Linked DNA regions of Nothobranchius furzeri. The protein of the gene in region 2 purifies or fractionates together with the protein of the main gene of each other region. This does not show direct contact. Links are inferred from orthologs where the notes say so. Each region holds a gene or a part of one and is shown on either strand. Other genes may lie near its edges. The genes, in order: trub2 and rcc1l.

What was found.
Region 1: the proteins of rcc1l (region 2) and trub2 purify together in Homo sapiens (affinity purification with mass spectrometry; 3 studies listed by BioGRID and IntAct, with this or other methods). This does not show direct contact. The link is inferred for Nothobranchius furzeri from reciprocal best matches to the Homo sapiens genes RCC1L and TRUB2.

The regions. Positions count from the first base shown.
Region 1 is NC_091743.1:66,845,806-66,849,727, forward strand, and holds trub2 (pseudouridylate synthase TRUB2, mitochondrial), read right to left. Parts: upstream 2,959-3,922; 5' UTR 2,875-2,958; coding exon 2,727-2,874; intron 2,650-2,726; coding exon 2,515-2,649; intron 1,812-2,514; coding exon 1,737-1,811; intron 1,651-1,736; coding exon 1,589-1,650; intron 1,498-1,588; coding exon 1,416-1,497; intron 1,293-1,415; coding exon 1,220-1,292; intron 1,141-1,219; coding exon 1,004-1,140; intron 932-1,003; coding exon 627-931; 3' UTR 150-626; downstream 1-149. UniProt on the Homo sapiens protein: Minor enzyme contributing to the isomerization of uridine to pseudouridine (pseudouridylation) of specific mitochondrial mRNAs (mt-mRNAs) such as COXI and COXIII mt-mRNAs.
Region 2 is NC_091750.1:67,887,912-67,891,833, reverse strand, and holds the start of rcc1l (RCC1-like G exchanging factor-like protein), read right to left. Parts: upstream 2,427-3,922; 5' UTR 2,229-2,426; intron 1-2,228. UniProt on the Homo sapiens protein: Guanine nucleotide exchange factor (GEF) for mitochondrial dynamin-related GTPase OPA1. Activates OPA1, by exchanging bound GDP for free GTP, and drives OPA1 and MFN1-dependent mitochondrial fusion. Plays an essential role in mitochondrial ribosome biogenesis.

The DNA.
Region 1 (3,922 bases), on a different chromosome or scaffold from region 2:
AAACACAGAGACTGCGTTCCTCTGGGATCCACAGAGGTCAGGGAGGAAGTACAGCAGATCTGATATTGACTGGCACTGCCTTGAGATATCAGAGGAAGTTCATCTCATCCTGCCGTCTAATCAAATTACTTTGTTCTTTTCATGGAGTCCTTTAGGAGCACAAAGAAAAATCTTTTTACTAAATAAATTGTTACAAGATTTACTAGGTAAAACGGATTTTTCTGAGAAGGAAAACTTTATCACAGACAGCATGAGACCAGTTTCAAAACAGATTTCAGTGAAACACACACAAGTGTAAACAAAATTATCTCAACCTTATTTCTACCAAATCAAGCCCAAGGACACACATTTAGATAAATGGAGCACACCCTGGTGTACGCATGACAGGTGGGAGGAGTCTGATGAGGAAGCACATCTTGACACCTTCCACCTGGTGGATGCTGGGAATGATACCAGCCCCCGTGGCTCTGAAACAGCAAAAAGAAGAAACCACCCTTATTTTGGGTTCTTCATAATCCAACGTCTCTGATCAGAAAATGTCTTTTCCTGCTGAGCTGAACTGTGTTTAAGTAGAGTGGGATTCAGGCTCAGACACAGCTCTTAGAGCTGATTCGTTCGATAACAGATCATCCAGCTGCTGCATCTTTGTTTTGATGAGTGCCTGTCAGTCTGCTTCCAGATGTTTCTAACGTGGATTCCCTGATGGGAAACAGGATTTTCTTTTGGTTTCTCTTTGACGAGTGGTATTTATAAATGGCCTCCATTACATCCGCAGCAGACCAGTGGTGACGTGTGAGTGCGTCCTGCAGGGTGAAGAGCCCGTCTCTGGTCCGCCTCACTCCTTTACACACCGCCGTGCTGCGCAGCTCAAGTCCGATCTCATGAACAACTTTACGCAAATATTTCTGGGTCTCGTTGAGGCATTGCACCTCTGTAAACACAGAATAAACACGTTTCTAACTAGATTTATGGGAATTTTTAAATATTTGACTGTCCTTATTACCTAAAGTGAATTTGGGAGGCTGGAAGTGAATGCAGCGTAACCCCGTTAAAATAGGAGCCGATTTTCCGTCTGGACCCAGTAAACCTTTGGCCGCCATCTCGTATGCTTCCTGTGAGCCCATGTCTACCGTAGAATACCTGTTAGGATAAAAACAAGTCAGGTTGACTCACAAACATCTGATTTCAAAGTAACGTCCAGCAAAACACATTATCTTACATTCTCAAAGCCTTCTGATTGGCTCCTTCCAGCATTGCAGTGACTCTCTCCAGCTTATCCTCTGAGATGTGATCTGTTCAGATCACGTTTAAAGGACAAAAACAAATCAGGTACATTTGCATTTTTATAGCCTCGGATATCTGTAAGTACAAAATGAAGCTAATTTATCTAACTGCTAAAAACGATAGTTAAATACCATAAGTGGACCTTTCCAAAACCCGACCAGTGTGAGAGAAATCATGCGTTGCCATCCCAAATTCACACTCTAATGTATAGTCCTTAATAGAAAAGCAAAACAGAAATAACTTAATAAAACATCTTAAGGAAACAAATCCATGCCGTGTCAAACCAGCAGGAATGAGAATTTACCCGAGTGATTCGTGTATTGTACAGATCATTCAGAGTCTTGTTTCCATTCCCGACAGCAAGAACTTAAACACAGAAATGATAGAAAGTTTTATGAATTTTCTTGATAAAATTCAGACATTTTATCCGATGATCAAGTGGAAGTTTGTACCGAGGACGCCGGAGGACGAAGTATCCAGGCGGTGGCCCACTCCAACTTTGATTTGCTGGAATTCAGGTCCAGTCACTAAGACATGAAAAATATGCATCATTCTACCCACTCATGTACACTACTTACTGAATGCTGAATTACACCGGGCCGATATTTGTCCTTAATAAAGCTGATTTAAAGTCAGGCACATCCTTGGGCAGCACGGTGCTATTGCAAATTAAATTAAATGTATTTTTACATTCACAAATAACATCCGCATAATACATTCTCTAAATTAACTTTATTTAGGTATCTGACTAACGCGGAGCAGCGCACCAAGTTAAGATTTAACAATTAGTTGAATTCAGAGTTCAGAAATGTTGTGCATCCACTGATGTGATTAGTGACATTTTAGCATGAAAATAAGGTGGGAAACGTCTAAATATCAGCATCAGCTGACCGTGTCTCCTATTGATGCATCGGTATCGGCAATAGAAAAAAACAATATCGGTCGACCTCTATGCTGAATCATGGAGACGCAAGCTAAGGCTCAGTCCAAAAGGTGCGATGGATCAACAATGCATTTGTAGGAGGATGAATTGTGTCCCCCCAGCAGGCTGCTGGTGTAGATCGACACTTTCGAACATTTCTATCTTAAAATGTTTAACTAAAATTTTGAACCTGTTTTGGTCCTTTTTTCATTTGTGAACGTAAACCCCACAAAGCTTTTAGACATTTAGACATAGTGCATGATGCATCCGAAACCAATTATAAAACAATATGCAGGTGATCTACATACCTAGTGGGTGCTTCGACAGGACAGGGACCGCGGCTGGAGACACTCTGAGTCCTTTGGCTGCTCCAGGTTCATCGCTTGAGCTCACCAAGAACCGAACCTCACGAGGAACTGGCTGAGGATGTGTAGCGTTTACACCTGGAGACACACAACCAGGCATTCCAGGTCTATTTTATAAGAAACTGATAGCATTTCACACTAAAGTCGTGTCTCACCTTTAAGAAGATTAGTCTCTATCGTGTCCCGCACAAGTTTCCAGTGAACATCGGCAGGTTTGTAAACACAAAAAACTCCTTCTAGTCTCCGGAACATCCGAATAGCTGGAGTTGCCATTGTGTTGGGGAAAAAGCAACCTATTTTCATCTAGCATAAATTACATGTTTACCTACTGATGCTAACGCTTGCTAAAGCCGTCCTGCACGTGTATTTGCGCATGCGCGCATGATGTGTGTAATGGCTTTATGCTGATTGTATGCTGCCCCCTGCTGGAGTGGATGTGTTGGAAAGCAGCAGTAGTTTTAGAAGAAAATACAGGAATTGAGAAAATGTGGCATATGTATTTGTTTAATTTACGAGATTGGTCTCTTTTTTTAATTAGTGAATGGTTTCTATTTGAAATAAGTAGTAATTTTTTTTGTTACTTTTTTTTCAGAAAAGTCGGCGACATTTGCTTCTTTTGCCCACAGATGGCAGCAAAGTCGGACCTTCCTTCGGAAAGGAAGAAGAAGTAGAAAAGGAAACACATTGGATAACCTTGTTTAGAACTACAAGAGGACTTGAAGTGGTAACGTCGTCGACTTTGAGATATGTTGGTGTTGTACATTTGTTGCATTTTGACGTATATATTTAGGCCAACTGCAGCAAAAGAAGTAAGACTGGAAGTGTCGGTGTTGTGTAGAGATCTGTTTTCCCTGATATGTCGTCGTGCCCACCCAACCCCACATAGAAGAAGAAGAAAATATCATTTCTATAACGCCTCTCAAGATAAAAATCACGAGGCGCTTAAAGCAAATTAAACGCATCCGAACGGCTGACTGTCACATTAAAAGTAATTTCCCCAGGGTTGAATAGGGAAATAGTACTATACACCTGACAGAAACATCAGGCTTGTTTCCTCAGGGCTCGGGATCACACGTGACCACGCGTGTCATTCTGGGATGTCTACAGACATGTTGATGGCGTTAAGTGTGTAAAGGTGTAAACAAACCATGAAAACAAACACTATGTCGCAGAGAAGACGCAGATTTGGGACAAAGGAAGTGTTAAACAACAGGGATACACAGTTGTGTGTACACTCACAGGGAAACTGTAAATCACTGCCTTCAATAATTCATTGCAATCAGTTTCTGATCAACGTGCCTGCTTCTGAGTACTTAGATTGCTTTAAGTCTGCTTTAATTGCTCATACATA
Region 2 (3,922 bases):
ACAGAGACACACAGGACAAACAACCATGCGCGCACACACACACATACACACACACACACTCACTCACTCACTCACTCACTCACACCTAAGGACAATTTGGACAGACCAACTAACCTAACAGTCATGTTTTTGGACTGTGGGAGGAAGTCGGAGTACCGGAGAGAACCCACGCATGCACAGGGAGAACATGCAAACTCCATGCAGAAAGATCCCAGGCCGGGAAGCGAACCCAGGACCTTCTTGCTGCAAGGCAACAGCTCTAACCACTGCACCACTGCGCAGCCCCAAATTGTAGAAACATATCTTTGAAAATATTGAAATGTGAAAATAGTTTTAAAAAAATTTAAAGGTGCATTATGTAGAAATGAAGTAAAAATGTCTGTGGTAAAATTTGGTTACTGAAACCACTTTAAACAACTTAGGAGCTTTTTACCGTTAGTCGTCAAATTACAATTGTCGGCGCTGCAGTATTGGCTCGCAGGAGACATGACTACCCCACACTCACTCAGGGTTTTTCCTGCATTAAAATTTGTGTGGCAGCCACCTCCAGCTAATTTTGTGCCGCCCCAGCCTGATTTCACTCTGTCCACAGCTATATGGATGTTATTTTAACTGCAGTTGCAGAGTTGCGCCACAAGAGGGACGCTGTATCAGCAGCGGTGCACCGAAAAGCACTAAAACTGCTGCAGAAATAAATCAAAAATAGCTTTTCTCGCTAGTTGGTACATATCTATGGTTGGTGCTAGTGACGTCCTGATTTTCCCCCAGGCTCTTCCATATCAGAGCAGGGCTGTACAGTGCGACGAAAACAACTGTCTGTGCGTGTCTGTCTATTTTTAAACGTAGCACTGGTGCAACATCTTTGAATTTCTGTTTTCCCCAGAACTTTATTGAACAAAAGTAAGTTACGTGTAAGAAAAATGCTTTTTTACTGGCGCACAGTGTGGTCATCTGGATGCAGTGGAGGACAATAAAGGAACCAGCAAAGGCAGAACCGGTACAAAGTCTGGGATCAAAAGTGCAGCTACACTCAGATTGGCTAATGCTAAAGTTAACGGATAGCAGTCTCACGATCAAGTGGCGCACAGAAAAATATATGATGATGATGGTAAAACTAAGAAAGACTAAACTCTACAAGCGGATGAAAATTCCCCACCATCCTGTTTATTCTGCATCCTGCAGCGCTACGGATCAGAACCGCTGCAGATGTGAGTCATATTACTGCTGGCGCAGAAAGTAAGGCAAGCCGTTGTGGTATATTATTGAGTCTTTTATAATAATTTGCCTTTTAAAAAGTGAGTCAGTTGAATACACAGAGTATGCATGTGCTGGCGCATGGTCAGGATGGTACCACCTCTGCCTCAGTTTGAGCCAGGAAAAACCCTGTCACTGATGGTAAATAGTAGCTATGTCCCTCCTCCCTTTGTTTTGAAAGGAGAAAAACTGTCAATCCCCACAGCCAGCTGGGCATGGTGGCGCAGTGGTTAGCACTGTTGCCTCGCAGCACGAAAGTCGTAGGTTCAAACCTCGGCTGCGGCCTTTCTGCGTGGAGTTGCGTGTTCTCCCCATGCATGAATGGGTTTCCTCCGGTTTCCCCCACAGATCACAACATGCCCTATAGGTTATAAATTGTAAGTCGCTTTGGATAAAAGCATCTGCGAAATGAATAAACACAAACATTCAAAGTGTTTCAGTATAACCTTACTTCCAAAATGACTGAAGCAGACGCTTCTGGGATTTTCTAACTGTAAAATCCTCACTACATTCTTACATACTGCACCTTTAATGAGGTATTTATAATGTTCATGTTTGATATTTTATTTATGCATCCTTATATTTTTAGAATTAAAAGTAATGTATCATTCAGTCAAGTTTAGTTTTATAATTTAAGTACAATTATGCCAAGACAGGAAATTCAGCTGGAAGTACTACGTACCTGTTCGAGGTTTCTCAAAATTGTATTTTGATATTACACCAAGTTTGGTGCTTTCACGTATGCTATCTTTGCTCACATTTTGTCGAAAACCTTTAAATTGCAAATGTTTTTCAAACTGCAATATGGCCGAGTCTTAGAAAGGCTTTTATAAATGCGGATAATTTAATAAAATGTTTCCTAACTCCTCCGTGCTCAGGAAAACATGCAGATTTGAGTTAAATTTAAGGCTTAATGAACTGAGTTCCACCTCCGCTTCGTGTCCACGCAGCCCTGAAACTAGGGGTAAACTTACCTTTTATCGCCTTTTAACGAGTGTTTTACAACGTCCGAACGACTGGTTATGAGCTCTGAATAAATTACTAAAGCATAAATGAAAGTCGACTAATATATTTCAGGGTAGTTTAAATAAGAGCTAACAAACATTTTCCCAGTACAGTTGTGATCACAGCTAACGCTAAGCCCTTAGGACAGAGCGCCACCTGCTGGACTGGAGGGTACAACACCACGACTCAACATAATTGACCTAAAGGGAATTTGAAACCAGAATCAGAATCAGAATAGGTTTATTGCCATTGTCCGTGAACAAACAATTCACAAACTAGGAACTTGCTTTGGTACTAATGTGCTACATATAACATGAACAATAAGATTAAAAATAGAATAAAATAGAATAAAACTTTCAGCTATAAAAAATGGCTGGTAATGGTAACATGGCTGATAACGTGATGTTGTGTCAAGTACAGAAAACCAGCATGGTTTTGTGTTTATAAGCAGTTCACAAGTCTAACTGCAGATGGAAAGAAGCTGTTCTTATGGCGGGAGGTTCTGGTCCTGATGGACCGTAACCTCCTGCCTGAGGGAAGCGGCTCAAAAGGTCTGTGACCCGGGTGAGAAGGGTCAGCTGCTATCCGACCTGCACGCCCCTGAGTCCTGGAGACGTACAGGTCCTGGAGAGATGGAAGGCTGCAGCCAATCACCTTCTCAGCAGAGCGCACAATGCGCTGCAGTCTGTGTTTGTCCCTAACTGTGGCTCCAGCGTACCACACAGCGATGGAGGAGGTGAGGATGGACTCAATGATGGCCGTGTAAAACTGCACCATCATCTGGGCCGGCAGCTTGACCTTTTTCAACTGCCGCAGAAAGTACATCCTCTGCTGGGCCTTTTTGATCAGGGAGCTGATGGATGGCTCCCACCTAAGGTCATGTGTGATGGTGGTTCCGAGGAAGCGGAAGGAGTCCACAGTGGTGACGGGGAGGTCAGTCAGGACGACGGGGAGAGATGGGGCTGTGACTTTCCTGAAGTCCACAATCATCTCCACTGTCTTCTGAGCATTAAGCTCCAGGTTGTTGCTGCTGCACCAGTACACCAGCCGATCCACCTCCCTCCTGTAGGCGGACTCATCACCGTCAGAGATGAGCCCGATGAGGATGGTGTCGTCCGCAAACTTGATCAGTTTAACAGAGTCATGGCTCGAGGTGCAGCAGTTTGTGTACAGGGAGAAGAGCAGAGGAGAAAGTACACAGCCCTGTGGAGATCCTGTGCCAATAAAAATATAAACATCACACGAATCAAAAATAAATCAAAATGTTTAAAAACAAGAAGCAGAAATAAGTTTAAAATGCTTAAAAAAGGATGAAAACATTGTCCACGTTGACTCAAAAGTTTGTTAAATAAAAAACTATTCCCAGAAAGAACATTAAGAGCTGCAGATGCTAGATTACTTTATTTTTTATTTGCTAAATTACTCAAAGAAAAAAACAACCCCAGCATGCAAAACCATTTTGTGTAATAACAAAACAATGGTAGGAATTTCCTTTCAAATTAAAGATGACACAGCTGAGAGTAAATTTAAAAAAAAAAAAAGAAGTAATTTGTATTAATGCGTTCTGTTTAGATTTTCTTTAATATTTTTAGAAATAATTCACACTTTTTCTTTTTACACAGATCTCTGTTAAAAAAAACAAATTTAAAGAAAATTCTCTATT